2 linked regions of the Solanum lycopersicum genome follow. The protein of the gene in region 2 interacts with the protein of the main gene of each other region in a biochemical or structural test. Links are inferred from orthologs where the notes say so. Each region holds a gene or a part of one and is shown on either strand. Other genes may lie near its edges. The genes, in order: HY5 and protein FAR-RED ELONGATED HYPOCOTYL 3.

Evidence for each region.
Region 1: the proteins of protein FAR-RED ELONGATED HYPOCOTYL 3 (region 2) and HY5 form a complex in vitro, tested with the Arabidopsis thaliana proteins (2 studies listed by BioGRID). The link is inferred for Solanum lycopersicum from reciprocal best matches to the Arabidopsis thaliana genes FHY3 and HY5.

Annotation. Positions count from the first base shown.
Region 1 is NC_090807.1:48,168,160-48,181,322, reverse strand, and holds HY5 (transcription factor HY5), read left to right. Parts: upstream 1-4,651; 5' UTR 4,652-4,713; coding exon 4,714-4,810; intron 4,811-4,964; coding exon 4,965-5,142; intron 5,143-5,274; coding exon 5,275-5,431; intron 5,432-7,756; coding exon 7,757-7,801; 3' UTR 7,802-8,189; downstream 8,190-13,163.
Region 2 is NC_090806.1:59,059,732-59,072,598, forward strand, and holds the start of protein FAR-RED ELONGATED HYPOCOTYL 3, read right to left. Parts: upstream 5,850-12,867; 5' UTR 5,784-5,849; intron 4,669-5,783; coding exon of another isoform or gene 4,261-4,668; intron 1-4,260. Other genes in the region: uncharacterized protein, read right to left, coding at 4,261-4,668.

The sequences.
Region 1 (13,163 bases), on a different chromosome or scaffold from region 2:
CATCACCTGTAGAACTTGTTGAGAGTTCTTCATTTACTTGAGTCTCGGGTTCACTGATCTCTTCAGAAATATCAGAATTAATTAGATCTTGAATTTCTTCGTGAGATTCTTTTGTAGTGTCATTTTTTGTACTTCTTTTTCTAGGATTTTTATCTTTTGAACCCAGTGGTCTACCACGCTTCAGGCGTATTTGTGATTCAGAAGCTATGACACTTGTAGATGGTCCTTTTGGAACGTCGATTCGGATAGGCACATTTACTGCAAGAATATGTGACTTCGTTATCCTTTTTGAATCAGTAAATGAGTCTGGCATTTGATTTGCTATGTTTTGCAAATGGATGATCTTCTGGACCTCTTGTTCACACACAGGGGAGCGTGGATCAAAATGAGAGAATGATGAAACTTTCCAAGCAATTTCACTTTTCAGTTTCTTTTTATCTCCCCCTAATTGCGGAAAATTTATTTCATCAAATTGACAATCTGCAAATCTTGCAATGAATAAATCTCCCGTCAATGGCTCAAGGTAGCGAATTATGGAGGGTAAATCAAACCCAACATATATGTCTAAACTTCTTTGAGAGCCCATCTTGGTGGGCTGAGGTGGTGCTACAGACACATATACAACACATTCAAAAATTCGAAGATGAGCAATATTTGGTTCATGGACAAATACCAATTGTGATGGGGAGTATTTCTTATAATGAGTCAGTCTGAGACGAACAAGTGATGTTGAATGTAAGATAGCATGACCCCAAACAGTAGTAGACAACTCACTTTTCATAAGTAGAGCTCTTGCTATCAATTGTAAACGCTTAACAAAAGACTCAGCAATGCCATTTTGAGTATGAACATGAGCTATAGGATGTTCAACTTTTATCCATACTGATACGCAATAAGCATCAAAACCTTGTGATGTGAACTCGTCAACATTATCAAGGAGAATTGTCTTAATGGGATAATCTGGAAATTGCGCTCTTAATCGAATCATTTGTGTCAATAATTTTACAAACGCCAGGTTGCGAGATGATAAGAGGTAGACATGAACCATCTAGAAGATGCGTCTATTAGGACCATAAAATAACTAAACAACCTACTAGATGGGTGAATAGGTACACAAATATCCCCATATATTCGTTCTAAAAATTGAGGGAATTCAATGTTAACCTTCATTGGTGATGGCCTAGTAATAAATTTGCCTTGGCAACAAGCAACACACGAAAACTCATGATTTGTAAGAATCTTCAGGTTCTTTAATGGATGTCCATTTGAGTTTTTAATGATTCGTCTCATCATTATTGATCCAGGATGACCTATTCGGTCATTCCAAATCAGAAAAGTCTTTAAGTCAGTAAACTTCTGGTTTACGATAGAGTGTGCTTCAATCGTACTTATTTTTGCATAATACAGGCCAGAAGATAAAGTTGATAATTTCTCCAACACATATTTCTGGTCTGAGACAATCATGGTAATACCAAGGTATTCAACATTCATTTCATTTATTGTCTTAACATGGTATCCATTTCGGCGAATATCTTTAAAACTTAACAAGTTTCTTGGGGATTTAGAAAAGAGCAAAGCATCTTCTATGACAAGTTTTGTCCCTTTAGGCAGAAATATAGTAGCTCTTCCGGAGCCTTCTATTAAGTTTGAATTACTAGAAGTTGTAGTAACATTTGCTTTTCTTCTAAGCAAGTAGGAGAAGTATTTCTCATCTTTGAATATGGCGTGCATTGTTCCACTATTAATTACACAAATATCTTCATGATTGATCATTGAGGTATCCATATACTCTTCAAGATAAAAGATATAAAAGAAATAAACATTATAATATTATTACTAAACAAAAACATTACACACCCTTTTAGTTATTTACAAGTCCAGGAAAACATATTTATACTAGTTCATATAAACGACGAAAATAAAATATATTTACATTATCACAGACCCATCACCTATCAGGTGATCTATCTTTCCTTTGAGATTCTCAAAGAAATCCGCTACATCTAGATGCATTGGTTCAACAGTATCTTCCATGATAAAGTTGGCTTCTGCGTTATTTTTTACCTCCTTCAGGGAAGCTTGATATAGCTCAACCAGGTGCCTTGGCGTACGACAGGTACGTGGCCAATGTGCTTTTCCTCCACATTGATAACATTTGTCGTCTGAATTTTTCTTCTGCACTACGTCATGTTTTTCATTCTTCTTTTTACACTGCTGGTATTGAATGTTATTATTTAGTGCAAGACGATCATCATGATTGAAATTTCTTCCTCGACCACGGTCACGACTGGGGCCACGACCTTTTTCACGCTTAGATTGGTGAAAATTTACCGTATTTACTTCAAGAAATGGCATAGAACCAGTAGGTCGACTATCATGGTTTTTCATCAATAAGTCATTATGTTATTCAGCAACAAGGAGATGTGAAATTAATTCAGAATACTTTTTAAATCTCAATTCTCGGTATTGATGCTGCAGAAGCATACTCAAGATAGGGAAAGTGGAAAACGTTTTTTCAGCATATCATGGTCAATGATATTTTCTCCGCATAATTTTAATTGTGAGATAATTTTAAACATGACAGAGTAATACTCACTAATAGATTTAAAATCTTGAAGTCTCAAGTGGATCTAGTCATAACGTGTCTGTGGAAGGACGACCAACTTCAGGTGGTCATATCTATCTTTTAAATTGTTCCACAACATCAGAGCATCCTTAACAATGAGATATTCCATTTTCAAACCCTCATGAAGATGATAAAGGAGAAATATCATCGCCTTAGCACGATTTTGATTCGATGCTTGATTATTTTCTTGGATGATGTCTTGTAGACCCATCGCATCAAGATGAATTTCTGCATCGAGTACCCATGATAGATAGTTTTTTCCCGATATGTCTACAGCAAGAAATCCAAGTTTAGAAAGATTAGACATTATTTAAGAAAAGGAAATTTATACCTCCGAGGCTTTTAAAGTCTTTACTTGAACTGGAAGAGACTCGTGCTGGTAACGTATTATAAAGAAAGCTCGGAATATTATATAAGAAGAAGAAGACAAGAAGTATAAGATAGAGGAGAATACTTTTTCTTATTCAAGTATATGTAAGTATCATATGTGTGTCCTACAATAGTGAATGAACAACCCTATTTATAAAGTGAGAAATCACTCCAAAAGTCACCATATTAAGTATCATAATAAATAGATACATTCTTATCCAAAAAGGTTTATGAAACCTAGTGAATATGAATGATTGTTCATGTACTAACTTTATGGACTATCCACTTATTCAATGAATTTATAACATAAATTAATTTATGAATAAATATTAAATTCGTACGCTAATACATATATATTTCATAATATATAAATATATATATAATGGAGCTACGGGTCATATTTAGAGCCGTAAAAAAATGCTTGACCCACGAAGCCAGCCCAACCCAACCTTGAAATAAGTTGGGTTGAGCTTAATATTTTTGACTCATTTATAAATGAGACTTTTTTAGCTCGCCCCATTTGCCCCGTTGGCCTCGTATCCAACCTGTAAACCTCAGAGTCGAGTTCGTGGGCTATTAATTTTTAAAAATATTTATATATATATTTTTAATAATGTTTTATTTGTAAAGATTTCATTAATAATTAAATATTTTGCAAAAATAAAAAAATCAAGTATTTTGCAATATCATATTCTTGGTGTAGATGAAGATGGACTTCTTAAGGAAATAATATCACATGTTGATTCAAATATGTTCGACGGTGGAAATTAAAGCGGAGTTGTAAAACATTAATTAATGAGTCATGTAATAGTTAGAGATTCAGATTTGTTAAGTATTTAGGCTGCCTTGTTGCTGAAAACTAGTTTTTTGTGGGAGAAATGATGGAATGATCAAAATTTATCCATTAAATCTTATGTTGGCTATTATGTATTTTTGTAAGTATTCACCAAAGCGTGTGATTCATAAATGTATTTTTGTGAGTATTCGCCGAAGTGTGTCATTTATAAAGGATTTTTTATTTAAATTGATGTCGTGTTTATAGACATAAACATTCGATATTCTTTTTAAGAGAATAATATTATTTATTTTTTGGTTGAAGGGTCAATCCGTTCCAATCCGTGGCCTGCTTATGACTGATTTAAATTGTTATTTTATTGATCCTTTAATTAAATAACTAACCCGCCCAACAATTCTCTAATCCATTAAAATTTGATTGGACCAACCTATTTAACGTCTCTAATTATATTTGATTTATAATAAATAAATAAATAAATAAGAGACGGGGAAAGTATAAAAAATTCTTGAAAGTGGATAGATGGAGTGGATAAAATATCTATCATGGGCAAAACGGTAATAACAATAGCACTTTTTATTAAACCAGCAAAAATAAATGGTCCCGATGCGTTGTACCTACTTAAAAGTTTTAAGAATAATTAATCATAGCCGTTAATACTATCAAATCGAAAGGCTGCCATTTGTCCACGACAGTTACGTATGAACCTTTGATTAAGCCGACAACTTATGGCTTCTAAAGCATCCACGATCACCTCTTTATATCCGTCCGATATGAAACTGATCCAACGATTATTATTCCATAGAGGTGCTTCTCTTTCTCTCCCCTCCTTGTTTAACATTCATGTCCCGCTATTTCTTTTCTGAATAAAATACGAAACTGTACTTTTCCCTTAATTTAGTGTTTTTTTCAAGTGTAGAGAAAAATGCAAGAGCAAGCGACGAGTTCTATTGCCGCTAGTTCACTACCTTCAAGTAGTGAGAGATCATCTAGTTCAGCTTTACATCATGAACTCAAAGAAGGTAATCTTTTTTAAAAAAAATTTAAATCCAGCTTTTTAACATTTAATTTTGACGAATTTATGGAGTAATTTTTTGAAGAATGTGTTGTTTTGGGTTAGGTATGGTTGAGATTTTGAAATAGTTTTTAAAAAACATTTTGTGTTTTTTTGTGAAGGTATGGAGAGTGATGATGAGATCAGAAGAGTGCCGGAGATGGGCGGAGAAGCGACGGGGACAACGTCAGCTTCTGGAAGAGATGGAGTATCGGCCGCCGGTCAAGCTCAACCATCAGCTGGGACTCAAAGGAAGAGAGGAAGAAGCCCAGCTGACAAAGAAAACAAAAGGTTAAAAAGGTAAAAACCTTAAACATCATGCCACGTAGGTGTATCTACTTGTCACATGTTATGGGCTTCCACACTTTCTTTTTTTGGATAGCAGTGGCATTTTAGTTAATATTGTATTTTTTTTTGGTGGGGTTGAAAAAGATTGTTGAGAAATAGAGTATCAGCACAACAAGCAAGGGAGAGGAAGAAAGCATATTTGATAGATCTGGAAGCAAGGGTGAAGGAATTGGAAACAAAGAATGCAGAACTTGAAGAGAGGTTGTCTACTTTGCAAAATGAGAACCAAATGCTTAGACATGTAAACATTCTTCTCTCTACTTCTATTTTTGCAATAGAATTGTTCATCTATATATCCTATATGCTTGAACGTGTGCCATGTCCGGTCTAATTACTATTCAGATACTTCTTCCACTTACCTCTATTTCTACTGAATCCATTCACAGCCAAACTCTCACCTCCCCCCGCATTTCTACATTCGTGCATCTTTCTCTTCACATATCTGAATCTCTTCCCGCATCTTATTCTCTTTCGAAACCACACTCAGCTTGTTTCAACTGTCCTGATTTTATTCTATATCTCCTAGTATATGTGTCCACACATCCATCACAATATCTTCATTTCCACAACTTTCATCTTTTGAACGTGAGAGTGCTCAACTACATGTACTTGCAAAGGCGTATTCAGGATTTCGGCAAAATGGATGCACAATTACGAATAAAATGCATCTTAAATATAAATTTGATCAATTTGACTTTAAAGTTTCTAATATAAAACCATTAAACTTTTAAAATTGTAGGTGCAAAATATATAATACTACTAGTTTAAATTTTAATGCACACATTTGATTTAATTATACATATAAAATATTTTTTAGGAATTTTTAATGTAATACACTTCAAAATTTTTGAAAAAATTAAGGAAAAAAAAAGAAGAAAAATTAGTTAAAACGCTAAAAGTATATAACCAATAACTACTTGTAGAGGTGCTACTTAAAAAGACAAGATAGATATCTAAGATTTTAATTTCTATCCTCACAGAGGTGCACCCAATCATCGTCATCATATTATTATACGATACTTTAACTGTGGGTTCACACATCTATATTTAAATATTTTTCTTAAAATATAACACTATTATATTTGATCTAGAGATGGTAGCATGGGTTCATGTGAACCCATGACACCCCCTCTAGATATGCCCCTGTATACTCAACCCCATACGACATAGTTGGTCTAACCGTCACTATGTAGAATTTCTCTTTATGTTTTGGTGGAACCTTCTTATCACTAGCAACTCAGATGCAAGTCTCTATGTCATACACGTTGCACCAATACAGTGAGTGACATCCTCGTCAATCACCCCATTTTCTTGGATAACGGACCAATATACTTGAATAGAGTATAGCACCAAAAGTTGTGGTCTATTGTTCAATGAAGAAGTTGAGAGCCATGAGATCTCAAGTTCAAATTCAATAGAGTAAAAGAGCTACTAGGTGATTGTTTCTGTATGTTCTAGCCTTGGTGAATATAGTTACCTGGTATTTGATGCTGGTTGGAGGTGATGATAGGTATCTCGGGTAATTAGTTAAGGTGCGGGAAAGCAGCCTTAAAAATAAATTAGATGAATGGGGGGATTATCCAGAAACAATTTATAAGCTCAGTCATTTCTTTGGTTTAGCTCACTCTTATATCGGGCTTTTGTTATGTCCCATCAATTATTTATTAAACATTGAAGACGAGGAGACAAACTATGAATTATCAACAATATGCTGTGACTTCAGCCTCCTGAAGTTACATTAGTATTATGTAATTTATGTGCAGTAGAAATGTACTAGCGTATGAACATAGATCAAAGCATGGAAGCTTTCTCACCTTCTATATTCCCCAATATGCATTATACTGCCCATCATATGTGTACAGAGCATTTAAGCTGAACATATAATGTATGAATGAAGTGTTCTTGTATCTTCCATAGTATATCTGGTAGCGAGAGATGTAAAGAATTGCGTAATCATCCATGATATATGATGTCAGCTTTCTACTCTTAGTTATTACCTTGTAGTAAATCTAAGAACTACGCTCATGTTAATTGGGAAGTGTAGAGATTACTTGGGTAAAACTCTCAAGGCTTGTCTGCATGAACATGTAATACCAGTAACCGGTTCCTATAAATTTCGACCTTGAGCATGTGTTGTATCTATACACATCTTTCAGCCTGTATTTAAGTCACAGGCGTGGCTATTTCATATTAACCCTTTCTTATACACTTCCCCTCTTGCCGGTTAAGATTGGTACTTATCTAGTAGAATAACTATAAGATGAGTCTTGCTGAAAATCAATAAAGACAACTTAGAAATAACAACTCTATGTGACTATCAGTCAAATCTTGGATTTATCATGATTAAACATCTAATTGTTGGAATGCCATTGACCTGATTGACAAAACATCAACTTTCATGATTTCATATTGCATATCCAATCCGCCTATAAGAATCTCCAAAGACCACACAAAAAGGAATTCAAATGCTTCAATCTTTCCATGCTGTAAATTTGCTTTCTTCAGAGATGGCCAAAAAGAAAACGGTGTATATTTGGGGTTTGACTTCTTTTGTTATAATCTGCAGATACTGAAGAACACAACAGCAGGTGCACAGGAAGGGAGGAAGTAGACATATGATCGATCTTATGTCGATATGTCAGCATTCTTGTTTAGATCCTATGTAGGCACTGAAGAGAAATTCTCTTCTGGATTTGAGAATGCATGCTAGTTTCGGGTGGATTGTTCTGATTTGATGCATTGCATACTTGCTACTCTTAACCGTTGTCGGTTATATATTATCAGCAGAGAGTGAAGGATTGTGGCTAAGCTATTCTTAAAGTCACCAGCCTTTGGTAAGTTGCATGGACTAATCTTGGATGATATATGCTACAATTACCTATAACCTTTGCTAGCGTTCCCTAGTGAGTTGAAATCTTTATTAAAAACCAAATCGATGTACTGATAAGACTCGGTGTAAAAGAATTTGTGCAATTGAAAACCAATTAGGTACATTCAAATTTGTCTTAACCTAAAATTCGTTGATTGTGTTAACTAGTTAAATTGTTAGGTTTGCATACATGCAATGGAATTGATCCAAAACCTGATTGCTCCTTTGACAATGTACAATAAAAACAAAGAAATGACGAACCTAAATATTTAGGTCCAAAGAGCAAAAAGAAAGAGGTGAAGTCCTATTTGATTATTTTTCAATTACATATATGTATAAATTTAATTCCTTACGTTATCATATATATACAAATTAAATTCCTTAGGGTAAAACTTCAATTTCATATTTACAAATATCTACCAAGAATAATTACAAGAAACTAATGTTATTTCTATTCACATTTTGTTATCAACTCATATTTTGTATGAGTTATTGTGATATCTATTATAGGTCGATTATGTGTTAAATTTATTTCACGCTAACAAAAATCTATGAAGAAAGATAATAAATAATTTTAGAATTATCTTTCTATATTTGAAATGAATAATGATGAATGGCAAAAATGTAATTTCACGCTAACAAAAATATTAAATAATTTTAGAAACATCTTAAGTAATTGTTATTACCATTAACTTATTTTATTGTTACTTCATTTTCTTTTTATTTCTTTTACGAGTTATTGTGCCATCTACTTTATTATTACTTCATTTTCTTTTTATTTCTTTTACGAGTTATTGTGCCATCTACTTTATTATTACTTCATTTTCTTTTTATTTCTTTTACGAGTTATTGTGCCATCTACTTTATTATTACTCTATTTTACTATTACTTTAATTTTATTCTTAATAATTTTTCTATTCATTATGCTTCTTTAAAAACCTACTTTTATTATAAAAATGTCACGAATTAGTTATTTCAATCTTTATTTTTTATCTAATTAATATACTTGAAAATAAATTTGTGTGATAAAATTAATAATATATATTAGATTGAAATTAAAGAAAAAGATGTTAAAAGTAACTTTACAAATAAAAATAAATAGGATGATATATTTGTATTAAAGATGACCAAGAATAAAAATATAATTTCATTCTAATAAAAATCTATCAAGAATAAATAATTTTAGAAACATCTTTCTATATGTGAAGTGAATGGTGATCAAAGGTAAAAATGTAACTCATGCAAACAAAAATCTACGAAGAGTGATGATAAGAAAATTAAATAGTTCTAAAAACATTTTTAGGTATTATTATTAGTATTACCTCTTTTTTGTTGTTTCTTTTTTTTATGAGTTATTATGATATCTATTTATTATATGAAAGTTGATAAATAATATTATGCTTAGCTCTTTATAATTATATATCAAGTATAATATTAGGTGGAATCAATTAAAAATAAAAATAAAATTTATATGTATATTAAATTGTGTATTGAAGTATTTTTTAATTTTGTGAAAATTATAGGGATCCACTTTAAGTTTGCAGCGAAGTTTCTACATTGATGTTTTCAACACACATTACCACATTTATATTTTTCCCATCATTTTAACACGGAGTCCTCTAATTTATTTCTCTCTTGGGAAAATGCTCAAATATACTATTGAACATTTAGAAAAGACTCATTTATGTCATTTGTTAAAAAAAGTTTGGCTTATCTATATTATTACCATTCAAGAAAAGGTTCATTCATGCCATTATTTTTTAATTGTGGTTTTGCAAAACCATTTTTAACACGTGGTCAATTGTAATTCGGTCACGTCATCAATTTTTTAAATAAAAAAATCAAAATTCTGAAAAGAATTGAATTATTTTTTTTATTTTTTTTCAATTAATAAAATTGACGACGTGACTAAATTATAATTGGCCACGTGTCAAAAATGATTTTGCAAAACCATTGTTAAAATATACTGGTATTAATGAGTCTTTTCTTTATCAGTAGTGGCATAAATGAGTTAAACTTTTAATTGATGGCATAACTGAGCCTTTTCTGAAAGTTTAATGACATATTTGAGCTTTTTCTCTTCTCTCTTCTTCTATTTTAATATGTTTACTTGAGCTGAGGATCTATCGAAAACAAACTCTCTGCCCTTCACAAGGTAGGGGTAGAGAAATTGCTTATTCACCACCCTCCTAGATCCTAGTCTATTATATAGAAGAGTGAAGGGTAGGACGACCAAGGATAAAAATGTAATTTTATACTTATAAAAATCTATTAATAAAGATAGCAAGAGAAACAAATAATTCTACAAACATCCCATTGTATATGAAAGTAAATGGTGATCAAGGGTAAAACTATAATTCCATACGTACAAATATCTACCAAGAATAATAACAAGAAACTAATGTTATTTCTATTAACACATTTTGTTATCACTTCACCGTTTTTATGAGTTATTGTGATATCTATTCATTACTCTATTTAATTATTATTTTAATTAATTCCTAATATTTTATATTGAGTATGCTTACTAAAAAGACCTACTTTAACACAAAAATTCATTACTTAAAAATAAAGTTAATTATTTTCACCTTTATTTTGACTCTAATTAATGTATCCTAAAAGAAACAAATATGATAAAATTAATAATATATGTTAGATTTAAATTAAAAAATAAATAAAATTAATTTCAATATTTTTAAAAATAAGTATTTTAAAAAATAACTTTACAAATAAAATGAATAGGATTATATATTTGTATTAAAGTAAACTAAAACTGCTTACTAGATTATGAAAGTGTAGTTATTCATTAAAATATATAATTAAATATGTCATTTTACTTGATTTCAAACATATTGATCTAAATGTGTTTGATTTAAATAGTTGAGGACAATCTACCGTAATATGATCATTTTTTTATATATTTCATTTTAAAAACTATAAATTGTATTTTTAAAATTTAATTAAAATATTTTTTTTTCAAGTGATAAATTTCCTCCACAAGTTACATGACTATTCTAAAAACTATAAATGATAAGATTTTTCTAGAACTAAGTGTACGACACAAATAAATACACATTAACTCATTTTTCATTTCATTCACTCCGCAATTCTCTCCCCTCTCGTGCCTTATACCAATAAATTTTTCGTCCTTTATTTTTTATTTGCGTCCTAAATATTATACACTCTGGTATAAATCTCTTATTAGGAAAACCAATAATATAGTTTCGATCAACTCTCTCTATAATGACTCAACTTTCAGCAAAATTCAACATATCCACACTTTTCAAACACCCTAATGAATAAATTAACTTGTTAAATTCAGTATCAACCGCAATTATTTTTCTCAAAATGCTTAATTCAAAAGGAATGCAACCAGTGAGATAGCTATTCAAGAACAAAATATTCAATAATTTCAGAATCATGTTATGTCATTTCCTTTGGTTCTCTTCAGACTTTTCAATTTCATGGCATTTTTTTTGGGATTGTAGAGATAATTTTTGAAGTATCTAATTGCTTAATTTCTCTTTTATGTATAAACTCAAAACTTCACGTAACATATATGTCATTATATGAATGACAAAGATTAAAAATGTAATTTTATACTTATAAAAATCTAAAGATAGCAAGAGAAACAAATAATTCTAGAAACATCCCATTGCATATGAAAGTAAATGGTGATCAAGGGTGAAACTATAATTTCATACTTACAAAAATCTACCAAGAATAATAACAAGAAACTAATGTTATTTTTATAAACACACATTTTGTTATCAGTTCACAATTTTTTTAGTTATTGTGATATCTATTCATTACTCTATTTAATTATTATTTTAATTAATTCCTAATATTTTTATATTAATTATGCTTACTAAAAAGGCCTACTTTAACATGTAAATTCATTACTTAGAAATATAGTTAATTATTTTCACCTTTATTTTGACTCTACTTAATGTACCCAAAAAGAAACAAGTATGTTAAAATTACTAATATATATTAGATTTAAATTAAAGAATAAATAAAATTAATTTCAATATTTGTAAAAATAAATATTTTAAAAAATGTTAATAAGTAATTTTACAAATAAAATGATTAGGATGATATATTTGTATTTAAAGTAAACTAAAAATATTTACTAGATTATAAAGTGGAGTTACTCATTAAAATATATAATCAAATTTGTACTTTTACTTGATTTTAAACATATAAATCTCAATATGTATTTGATTTAAAAAGTTGAGGACAATCTACCGTAATATGATCATTTCATATATATTTCATTTTAAACTTCATTAAAATATTTTTTTTTTCAAGTGGTAAATTTCCTCCAATAGTTATATGACTTTTCTAAAAACTATAAGTTATAAGATTTTTCTAGAATTAAGTCTATGACACAAATAAATACACATTAACTCATTTTATTTCATTCATTCCTCAATTCTCTCCCCTCTCATGTCTTATACCAATAAATATTTCGTCCTTTATTTTCTATTTGCGTCCTAAATATTTTACACTCTGGTATATGTCTCTTATTAGAAAAACCAATAATATAGTTTCGATCAATTCTCTCTATAATGACTCTGTTTTCAGCAAAATTCAGCTAATCCACACTTTTCATACACCCTAATTAATCAGTTAACATGTTAAATTCAATCTCAATTACTTTTCTCAAAATGCTTAATTCAAATGTAATGCAACCAGTGAGATAGCTCTTGAAGAATAAAATTTTCTACAATTTCAGAAGCATGTTATGTCATTTTCTTTGATTATCTTCAGACTTTTCAATTTCATGGCATTGCTTTTTTTTTTTTTAAATGTAGAGATAATTTTTGAAGTATCTAATTTACTTAATTTCTCTTTTTATGTATAATCTCAAAACTTCACGTAACATATATGTCATTATATAATTCATTGAAAAAACATATATTTATTTATTACTATGATTTTATCATAGTTAAAATCATTTTAAGTTATATAAATTATTATATTAACTATCTCGTGTTAAACTACTGCAGTATATATTATAACAATTGTTGCTGATATTTTTAAATCCCATCTCATTGATATAAAACATTAATCCATCATGTTTATTAATTACTTTGAAAAA
Region 2 (12,867 bases):
TCAACTACTGAGAATTGCTCTAACACATTTATGCGATGGTGGGTCTTATATGAACAAGTGATTCTTACCTAACATGCTGTAAAATAGCTCATGATGTGTATTTGCATTATTTGTAATGGAACACAACTTAGTTACTCTATATTTTTATATTTCCATTTTTGTTCTTTCACGTGAAGATAATAGGGGATGATTATATTGAGGGTTTAAAAGAGATTTAATTACTTATTCGTTCATCTTTACTTGTTATTTATAGTTAACATACTTCTTAAGAAATAATATATAGAGGGATAATTCCTATTAAGGAATATTAGACAGGTAAAGATAGATGGGAGATATTATTTTTCGGGTAATGCTAAATGGCCAGAAAAATTAAAAAATTTATAATATTTTTTCAATTTTAAAATAAATTAATCTTTTTTTTTAATTTTTTAAGTTAAAAGATATTAAAGTTAAAATGATAAAAATATGTAAAACCATAAAATAATATAAATAATATTATTCCGACCAAATTTTCTTGCCAAAATTATTTTCCTTGTTTTTAAACTAATGGGATAGCTTCAAATAATGCAAATTCAATAGGTTCTAAATGCCAAAAAGACAATTGACCCAATTGTCATGTTCCCTTCAATTAATGCACATTTAATACGTGATGAATGCCAGAGGTAGTTACCACAATTGCCATGTTTAAACAAGAAAATCGTTCACAGCGTTTTATTAATTAAAATATAGGAATATTCCTTTACTTTACTTTACCTACTAAGAAAAGGGAATAAGTGTATACACGGGTCTTTGTCAATCTGTGTCCAGCTGGAAATTAATTTTCAATTTATTAGGGGTGAATTAATTGAACCAAATCTATCTTAGTTGTAATCAAAGAACTCTTTTGTTAGGTTTTTTCTTTGATATCGTGTTTCACCAAGAGGATCGCGTTTTCAATTTTTGTATCTTATTTTTAGAGTGTCAAAACGAACTTAGCTTATGAGATCGGTTCGATTCAACCTGTTATTAGGGTGGGGTTATGAAAGAATTTTTCAAATTCATTTAAAATAGGACTTATAAACCCAATTCATATAAGTCTTTCACCTTTGAGACTTGATTCAGGCCGGAGTCGGTTCATGAGTCACAACTTTTTATTTAAGGGTAACTTAAAATAATCTTACTTGTATATAATTATACTTAATACACACTATGTTGTAATATTATGAATCTTATTAGATTTTGATACATCCAGATACATGTATCTCGAAATATATGTACTCAAAATTAGGTTAATTTGTTCTAGATACACTCTATCCAAGTGATACATATGTATCTAGGATACATAGACAAATTTTGCGCCCTTGATTTCCCTCATCTTTCTTGTCACTGTCTTATTTTGCTCGCGTATCTGCTAGACGAGGTACATGCTAATTACACCAAATTTGTTGCTAGTATTATTAAAACAACACCATTGTTTGTCATATTTGATTTGAAAAATATTTACATTTTCTTGATATTATAAATTATAAGTTTGAAAAAAAGAAGGGCTAGCCCGCCCCAGCCCTCGGCCCTTCTAAGATTGGATTAAGCATTTTTAGGTCCTTCCAAATGAAGGACCAACCCACCCTAGCCCTTCGAATTTCTTGACTCACGAGGCTTGGACCCGATGAAGCTGGACCGTCCCTTTTTGATAGCTCTACCGTGCCATGGGGCTTGTTTAATTTTTTTGTTGTCACAAGATTTGCTAATCATATGCAACAATTTGTCCTCGTTGGGTATTTTAGTAATTGGACATACATGAGGTAGTTTGATAAGGCTAATAAAAGGAGTTGTTGTAGCTGCCATTTAATTTTTTGGATCTGCGTACGAAGTTCGTTTAGTTTCAACATAATAAAGTTACAAGTCTTTGAGTTTTAATTTATTTTTGTTATTTTAACTTAAAATTAAGAATTTTCAAGTATTTTTTGGGAAAATTATGACTAGTTAAAATTAGAAATTTATTTATGAAAAATAGCTATAATTTAAAAATAATTTTAAAAATAATAACATATTATTTTTATAGTAAACTTTTTTCGTCTCTCCCTTGCCTCTCCATCCTCTCTCTTTCTCTCTCTGTATCCAAATTAAAGTTTAGGCAAAGAGAGTAACCAATAAGGGCTTATTTAAGTGCATTTAAACTAAAATAATTTTTAAATAGTTTCATGGTATTTTTGCAAGTTAAATAAAGGAAAACTTTTAAAAATAGCAAACAATATGTATTCTATAACTTTAGTTTGCTAATTACGAATAATAGCACAATGATAAGAGATGAGAAAGGAAAGAGGCGAGCTAGATTTAGGAGAAAGTGTATTTTTTGCTAATTGTGAAGGAAAAGAATACAAAGATAAATTGATTTGTATCAAAATCAGTACATCATATTAAGAGGAGAGGTGAGCGAGATCGAGAGAGTAAGGAGAGAGGCGAGCGAAATCGAGAGAGGCGAGCATATCTATTGAGTAAAGGGAGAAGCGAGTGATATCGAGAGAGGGAGGAGAGAAGCGAGCAAGAGAGGGAGGAGAGAGGATTGTAGTTTGTATTTATTTTGCATTGTATTATTGATTATTTAGTATCAATTGCATTTGAAATACAACACATTGTATTTGTATTTATTTTGCATGGTATTCTTTATTTATTTTGTATCAATTATATTCAAATACAAGAAATATAATCATTTTCATCATCTCTTTGATTGGATACAAATACAATTGACAGTGAGGATGAATGCATATTGTATTCATACGAATACAAATATAATTGATACAGAATACAGTTTTTTTTAATACAATTGAAATAATGATACATTTGAATGAATTTATTCGTTGTATATAGTTATTGAGTTATTAGACTAATGAGGTTTTAGTGATTTTATTAAAAAAATAAAAAAAATATGGTTATCGATTTGATTTTGGTTTTATAATATTGAGTTATTGGATAAATCGATAACTCATTAAGATTGTAATAATTTACGATTTTACTCTTACATAAATATTAAATATTAATTTCAGTACCTTACTGGTTACTACTGATTTTGCCCTTTAGACTTTAATTTACACTTTCACATTAATTTTGAGTTTATAACTTTACATTATACAATACGTCAAAACCTTGTAAAAAATATGTCCTCTTCATTTCTCTTTGTGTTGCACTTGTGGCTCGTTTGTGTGAGGGATAAGCATAAATAGTTATGGGATAAAAAATTAGTCCTGAGATAAAATTTAGATGTTTTGTTTGATTAACATGTTTGAGATAATTTATCCCATCATTTATAACATAATAATGTAAAGTTACTTCATATACATAATGAGATAAGCTATCCGAATAGTTTACAGTTAATTTTGATTCTTTCTTGTGACGTTGGATTGTCATATCAGCGATCTAATAACTAATTAATGTGAATATTCGTTAGTTTGGAAGCGTTTGTGGTCCAAATAATAGATCAAAAAGATATTTTTGATACCAAAAGCAAATGGAGAATAAATATGAGATATTATTTTGAATAATTTTGAGGTAATTTGGATATTAAAAATAAAATAAATAATTAAATTTAATATTATCAATAAAATAATACTCTCACCCATACCCATTTTTTAAAGCTTGGTAGACTTTTTTGAGAAAAAAAATGGGTTAGGGAAAATTAAGAGCAAATTATAAAGTGAAAATTAATTTCTCTCAAATAAAGTAATCGTTCTAATAGGTAACCAGCTAAGCTATTAAGATTGTTTAGTTCTTCTCTAAATTAATGTGTTCTTGTTGTTGGCTGGGTTTTTCTTTCATTCTTTTTCCACTTCCTATATTTTCTAGTCTTGTACTCTCTCTATCTCTATTTACTTATTCACTTTTAGCTAGCGTTTGGCCATAGATATTGAAATATTTTTGGTAAATATTATTTGGATGAAAATTTGGGTGAAATTTTACCATGTGTTTGACCATAGAATTTGAGAAACATATTTCATTTTTTTAAGAAATATGATTTATACCCATAAGTTTTTAAAACTATCAAACTAACCATAAATTTGTATTACATAGCACAATAGAAATCTCATGTAACAACATTTATGACTTCCGCAACAAATTAACAAGAATCATTACAGTAAATATTCGTATAGTGAAAAGGTCTTGGTACTAATCATGATAATGAAAATACAACTAATATAAATTCGGGAAAAAAAAGAGAAGAAAACAAAAGGAAATAAATATTGCAATCACTGAAGAACCTATGCTTTCTCTCTGAAAGAGCTCAACCTATTCTTTAATATAATCTTCCCACATTTTATGAACAATCTCTTCTCGATGAGCTTGCATTTCCGAATCAGATGATCGAGAAGATGAAGCGATGTTGTTTCCCTGAGCCAATAGTTCGTCACTTTCATCAACAACCATATCATCATTTTCATATTCATTGAATATTCCATCACTACTTTGGTGTTCACGTAAAAAATTATGCAATACAGCGCAAGCAATTACTATTTTCACTTGCATGTCACATTCATAGTTGTTCATGCCTTGTCTTAGTATTCTGAATCTACTTTTCCACGCACCAAAAGTTCTTTCAATTACATTGCGCAGAGAAGCATGTCTATAGTTAAATAGCTCTTTTCCATTCTTAGGCTCTCTTTCACTTTCTCGGTAGTCCTGCAAATGATAGCGCATTCCTTTGAATGGAGCTAAAAATCCTCTTGTGTTCCGTAGACCAGCATCAACAACGTAATATTTATCTACCAAAATAAAATATTGAGTAAATTTTCTTATATTGAATAAAAATAGAACTACTAATTTATATACCATGTGATGGGAGATAAATGAATTAGTTGGTATTAATAAATATTATTATTTTTATAAAATAAAAAGTTAAGGGTAAAAATTGAATTTTTAAAACTTTCCAAATAATGGAATTTGTCCCAAATATTAGTTTTTTCTAGTATTTGGGAATTTGGAAAATTTGCCAAAAAAATTTACCAAATAATAGAAATGTGTATGGACAAACAAAATTTGCCAAGTTTTTTCCCAAGTTTGATGTGCAAAATCTATGGCCAAACGGGCCCTTAAATTGACATATCTATTAAGAAAGTAATGATTGACATAATAACTTTATCAATTTATCCCTACTAATAATGAAGTGGGTGAATTAAAAATAATTAATTAAACTCGGTTGATTTGTCAACATTAACAGCTAAAATAGATAAGTAAAAAGAGAAAAGAATAGACAAGTAATAAAGACATAGGAATCATTATTTTTTCTCCCAAGAGATGATAATATCATTTTTTTTTCTTTCGCAATGATAACAATAAAAAATAAAAACCAATAGTTTAAAGCTTTGGTTCGTCTATTGATTGAAAATGGAAAAGGAAAACAAACTATAACAGTAAATTGGTGTCATTTGGCCACTAATGTTTCTAAACATATATATAAATAATTTAAGTTATTGTAATTGATCATACAATTTGCACCGACTTGATAAGTACGAGAAATATTTCAAGTTTTTAAATATTAGAAAAATTTATTATTTGATTTTTAAAAAAATTATGCTAAATTTTCATATCATACGGAGAAGGGTCTAAAATGGTCCTCGACTATTTAAATTAGTACAAAATTATCCTACATCCATTTTTGGGCTTATAATACCCCTGACGTTAATCTTTTGATACAAAAATATCCTTATGTTTAATAGGTCATACTCATAAGGTGGATGAAGAACAATATTGTAACAAATCTCATAGTTTAAGGACATCTTAAGCCCTTTTCTGTTTAAATATTTTGAAATTACTTAATATATAAGCTCACAAGATTAATTTATTTTGAATGTAATAAATTACAAAAAAAAAAGAAGATAAATCATCTACTCTCTACACACTCCCCCCCTCCCCCCTCACTTCCTATCTCTTTCATTTATTTTTTTCTATTTGGATCTTGTTCATCATTTCATTTTTTTTTCAATTTATAAAAAATAAGAGAGAAGGAGGAAAATAATGATAACGTTCCTATAGAAATAATTAGGTCAACAAAATTTGACTTAATTAAGCAAATATGTACGAATACTACAATTTTCTTTTGTATATATCCAAAATTTAAAATAAAAAATTAAAATAATCATTTCCCCTATCCCCATCCTCATCTCACCTTGATAATAGTACAAATTAAAAAAATATAAACATGTGAGTTCATTTCAACTTTGAGTCTCATATATCCTAATTAAGAGTAACACACTAAAAAAATGAATAAAAAGAAAATAAACAAGACATCTAGTTGATAGAAAATTTTAATTTATACTAATAATAAAAATAATAACTTTCTTTTAGATGGATAATCAGTTGGGGTGAGTATGGATTTTAGTTGGATCCCCATTTATGATCTGAGTTATAGTAAATTGGAGGTTGATTTAAAATAGGCCAAGAAAAAGATATCATGAAAATTTATTTATTTATTTTGAATATTTTTCAAGTATATTATGTAAAAAAATTCTTAAAAATATAATTTTTATTATTTAGATGAGAATAATTTAAATTTGGACAAATCACGCAAAATAACATAATAATTAAATATTTAATAATCTTGAGAGAGCTCAAAATAAAGACAAATATGAATAAAAGATTAACAACGAGGGTATTTTTAGAATTAAAAAGTAGACGCGGGACAATTTTATACCATCAGGTACTTAAGGAGCATTTCAGGCCCTTCTTTGTTTATAAAATGACCGATAATTTATATTGGACTAATTCTAGTCATAGTTTGTTATATAAATTTTATATAGTTATGTATTTATTTTATATAATTTTATCCGAACTTGCTCTAAATTCACATTCAATTGCATATAGTAAAGTAGTTTTTTTAATACAAATTAATGCTACTTTTATTTTTGTCTTCTTTCTCTTTTTAAGATTCAAATCAATTGTGATTATTGTCGTGACATTTCTATAAACATGTTTGTTATAAAATGATAATATAAACTTATGAATAGTTTTAATAATTATTAAAATTTATGTGTATAAATTATTTTAAAAAAAATTAGGTCAAACGATTATCGATCATGGTCCATTGAGAAAGGAGTTGAACACATACTTGCTTTAAGCTAATCTATTTGGATTTCAAATTCCTAACGATCTCTTTCAAAATCTATTGCAAAAGATGAAACGCATGATAAAATTTCACTCAAGCCTACGAAAAAATGATTTGCAAAAATTATTTAGAATTCTTTTTTTTTTCAAATGCTAGCTAATATTTCTCTGCCCAATATCATTATTGGCTTGCACATTAACTTGTCATATTTGAATTTGGCACATAAATTAAAAAACAATAATTGACATAATTATTTTACTTCACAATCTTTATTAATTAGTATGTTTAGTATTAATTTTTGTCATTTTATTCTCATAGATAATTATTATATTCATGGTAATTACATCAATAAACTTTAAAAAATAAATAAAAAATAAGTAACTAATAATAAAAGTAAAATACAAAAAATAATTATTTTAACAAATAAAAACTAAAATTTATTTTTAGAAATGATCGACAAATAAAAAAGAGTGAGTAACAAACAATGTTGCATCAAAATTATTTAACCTCTTTTTTATTTCAACCATGAGAGTGTATAATACCACTTTAAATTTCCCCAGTAGCTTATTTACCATAGTAAAGTTGTTGAGGTCGAAGAAACTTTTCCTGATGCAACATGAATTTTTATCTATTGCAATATGCACATTTACAATAATATTTTTTTTTTAATTTTTTACTCGGTGTTTAATATTTATATTAAATTCTTGATTAATTTTGAAGTCATTTTTATATTGAAATCCGACTTATTTCGAAATCGAACGGGAAGGTCCCACATTAGGGTTAAATCAGTCCCTAGTAAAGGCAATTTCGTATCCAAAAGCAATTTAAATATATCTTATCTTCATAACATGCATTCCTTCGTACTGTCACAATTTTATGGGCCAAGAATATACCATCACTTGATGCTATTTTCAAGCTGCCAATCTCCATACATCATTTCTCTTGACAAACAGTTAGGTCGCAAATTGCAATTAAAAGCTAATGGATCCTTAAAGAACAATAACACTAAAAGTAACAAATATATAAAATATAAAAAGCATTCCATAAAAGACAAGAAGGGGCAGGTTGATCTTCTGCCTGCATGAGTTATTTAACTCATACTATATTTATTAGTAGTAGATATGGTAGAAAGTTATTAGACGTGTAGTTTATCTTTTTAGCTATTTATATCCATATTTATATATTAAGCAATAGTTTTATATTTGTGATGTTATGTGGAGTCCGTAGCTTAAAGGGTACAAAGTATTAACAAAAATTTCAAAACGGTATATAAAATTTTATATTAACCAAAACGGTAAAATCGCTGCATCAATAGCGACTTACCCCACCGGAAAAAGCAAAATCTCTGCCTTTGCAGCAATTTTACAAAATGTAATTTATTTATTTTTTAAAAAATAAAATCGCTGCCTACGCAGCGATTTATAAAAAAAATAATTCCAAATTTTTTTTTTAAAAAAAATAATAAGAAAATTGCTGCCCCTTTTTTTTTTAAAATAAGGAAATCGCTACTGGGTCAACGATTCAAAAAAAATTAAAAAAATAATTCCTTTTTTTTTAAAAATAAAAAAATAGTGATTTCCTTATTTTTTTAAAAAAAATCGCTGCCCCAGCAGCGATTTCCTTAATTTTTAATTATTTTTTTATAAATCGCTGCAAAGGCAGCGATTTTGCTTTTTCCTGTGGGGTAAGTCGCTGTTGATGCATCGATTTTACCGTTTTGATTAATATAAAATTTTATATACCGTTTTAGATTTTTTGTCAATATTTTATACCTCTTAGGCTCGTAACTCATGTTATATGCAGATATATACTATTTCGAGGCCCCACTTTCCACAATTAAAGTATATCAATTCTATACCATGGTAAATTATATGTGCGTATATACTCCAATAAAAGGCTATATAATTAGGGTTGATGGATGTGACACAATTATAATCAATTGTTAAATACATCTTTGAAATAGTGTTGAGATAATCTTTTTTTTAATGTATTGCAAAATGAGAAAACAAAACAAAATTGGCAAATCTGTGAGACAGTTTACCAAACATGCAAGAGACATTTTAACACTATGCAAATTTTGGCAACTTTTAATAGTTCTTGGCAAATAATAATTTTGGTAAAAATGGTGAAGATGATGAAAACATAAGTCAAATGCCTTAACTTATTAAAACACTATGGAGTCGTTTAGTTTGAATATAAGATAGAACAGAAAATCTTATTGATTGCTTTTGGTGTAGAAGAGTGGTGGAGCGAAATTTTATCAAGAGTGTCCAAGAGTAATGGTGTGTTTGTCAAAATAAGAGTCCGGAGCCTAAAGGGTTTAAAATATTAACAAAAATTCCAAAACGGTATATAAAATTTTATATTAACCAAAACGGCAAAATCGCTGCATCAACAACGATTCACTCCACATGAAAAAGAAAAATCGCTGCCTCTGCAGCGATTTTACAAAATGTGATTTGTTTTTCTAAAAAAAAAATGAAATCGCTGCCTAGGCAGCGATTTTAATTTTTTTATAAAAAATATAGCGATTTCAAAAAACAAAAACTAAAAAAAATTGTTAAATCGCTGCCTTGGCAGTGATTTAACATTTTTTTAAAATATGTTAATCGCTAAGCGATTTTATAATTTTTTTTTTAAAAAAAGTTAAATCGCTGCCTTGGCAGCAATTTTATTAAATTGCAGCGATTTAACATTTTTTTAATTTTTTTTAAATCGCTGCCTTCGCAGCGATTTTTCTTATTTTTAATTATTTTTTTTATAAATCGCTGCCTAGGTAGCAATTTCATTTTTTTTTGGATTTTTATACATCGCTTTTCACGTTGCTATTTCATAAATTGTTATATATATACTCATGATCATTACTTCAAGAGATCATTATTTCTAACTGAAGTGTGCTATTATGGGAGAGTATAGCCAAAATTTCAGTCATTTGAATTTTTTCTTATCGGATTCAACTAATAGATAAATAAAGTAATGTTTTCTTATTTCTTAAAACTATTTTTCTTATATGTAATATATTTATATTATTATTTTTATAGGTATGATCAAATTCAAAATGCAGTGAATTATTGTACACAAATCCTAAATAATAATGTTTTGGGTGATGAACGAGTTGATGAGTTGCACAATGATGAACCTTTCGAGCATGAATTAACAGACAGTGATGATATGTATGACGACGATGATGATAATGTGGATAATGCACCTAATGCATCCGTTGAAGCCCAAAGTATTAATTATCATTCTACAGCGATTACATACTTAGATCACACTGAGAAAATGCAGAAGATTTTATCTACACGAGAAATGACGGTGCCATTCGAACAACACTTTGGAATTCAAACAATCCTAAACATATCCAATCAGGTTTGATTGTTGAAAACTAAATATTTTGTAGTTGTTTATTTATTTATTTATTTATTTCATGTTGATTAATTTAATTTGTATATGCAACTAGATATGTTATTTATGAATAAGATGCAAATGGAATTTGCAATAGGAGCATATACTCTTGCTATTAAAAAAGAATTTCTTTGTGATCAATCAAAGAGTAAAAGTTGAAAAGTTATTTGCAAGTGTCATGAGTTAGGGTGTGATTAGATGATTCCATTTAGAGAGATTTCAAGCGGTATGTGGAAGACAGGAAAAATGGTTGAAACACATACTTGTCTTACAGATAACTATAAGAAGGATCATTTCAATTTGAATGATAACATGATTACCACTTCATTAATACCATATGTTATGCAAAATTCAGACATAAATATTAAGATGATCCGTGAAATTGTCAAAGGAAAGCATCACTATACTCCTAGTTATAGAAAAGCACAAAAAGGTCGAAGAAAAGCATTTCAAATGGTTTATGGTGATTTTGAAAGTTCATTTAAGGCATTACCTTGATACATGGTTGCACTACAATTATTCAATTCAGGCACTATTATTGAGTGGGAGCATCATTCTACAACAATGCAAGGTGAGCAAATTTTCAAATTTCTTTTTTGGGATTTTAAAAAAGAGCATTGATGGTTTCAAAAGTTGTAGGCCGGTCATTTCTATCGACGGCACACATCTTTATGATTTGTATGATATCAAATTGTTAATTGCGGTTGGAATTGATGCAAATGGAAATATTTTTCCACCTGCATATGGTTTAGTCGCACGTGAGAGTTTTGAGTCTTGGTCATGGTTTCTCAAGTTATTAGGGACACATGTAGTTTGTGAACGACAAGGAATTGCTCTTATTTCTGACCGTCATCAAGGAATCTTGCAGTGTGTTCAATCTTATAATTGGTTGAGTCCACCCAACACATATCATAGACTTTGTGTTCAACACTTAAAAGCAAATTTTAATTAAAAATTTGTAAATAGTGAACTTGAAAAACTAATGTTTTAGCTGCTACTGAGCAGCAGGAGAAAAAGTTTGTGCAACGGATGCAACAAATCAAAACATTGTGTCATGCAGCATATGAATGGTTAAATGAATTTCCTTTGGAAAAATGGACAATATATAAGGATGGTGGTTGTAGATGGGGTGCCATGACGACAAATGTGTCTGAGTCATATAATGATTTATTGAAAAAAGCTCGGGGGTTTTCTGTGACTGTCATGATTCGAATGACGTTCAAAGCTCTCGTTGATCGTTTTGTCGAAAGAAACAATCTTGCAATTGCATTACTTCAAAGTAATATATCATGGCCTCTTACGATAGATAAAAAATTTAATGATTATTATCAAAGAGCTCAAGGCACACTAATATGATGACTTACAACACAGGTGATGTACTTTTTGAAATTCTTACTTTTGCTCATGATGGTAAAGGTGAAAATGTCCACAAAGTTACTGCAAAAGGTAAGAAATGTTCTTGTGAAAAATGGAGAAATTATCATATGCCTTGTTCGGTAACTATCAAAATTTGTGGACTTCGCGGAATCGAGCCAAAATCTTATGTAAGTAAATTCTACAGTGCAAAATATTAAAAACGAACATACACTGAGACATTTAACCCAGTGGGTGATGAAATGTATTGGCCACCAGCACCTTTTAATTTAACTGCAAATACTGAATATTTGTGGACAAGTGGTACGCAATTAAGAAGCCGACTTAAGAATGATATGGATATAGCTCCGGCTCACATGACTAGAAAATGTAGTGTTTGTAAGGAGACAAGTCACTTAAAGGCACGATGTCCTACTCGATTTTAAATATTTTGTCTATGTTTTTAAGGTTAATGTATTTTTATTGTCTTGTTATTAATATTATGATATATCTTTTATATTTATTTGTTGACATGAATTTAATTTGTCTTGCTGCATTTTAAATATTGTAAGTATAATATCTTTATATTATTATTATATTATTGATTTGAACTCTATTAAAAAGTAATGATTTGACCTAACATAAAAAGTATTAATTTGACCTATGATTTAAAGAAAATATAAATCCTGCAAACTTGTTCAAACATAAAAAAAAAAAAAGAATCTCATTACTTTGTTCAAACTTGTACGAAACAACAAAATTTACATATTTCAAAATTCGAATCTTCAACCTTTTAGAATAAAGGTGCATAAAAATTATTCTTCTAAATCCGAATCTTCTACATCTTCATTTTCAAAATCTTTCTCATTTTGATAGTGACTACCTGTTCCACATCTAGTTAATTTGTGTAGCCTAGATGTTCTCCGAGGTAGATTTTGTCTATCAAGAACTAAATTTTGTGAAGCCCCAGCATTAAATCTTGAATCATCGGACACAATTACCTATAATACAATACAATATAATATAATAACATAAAC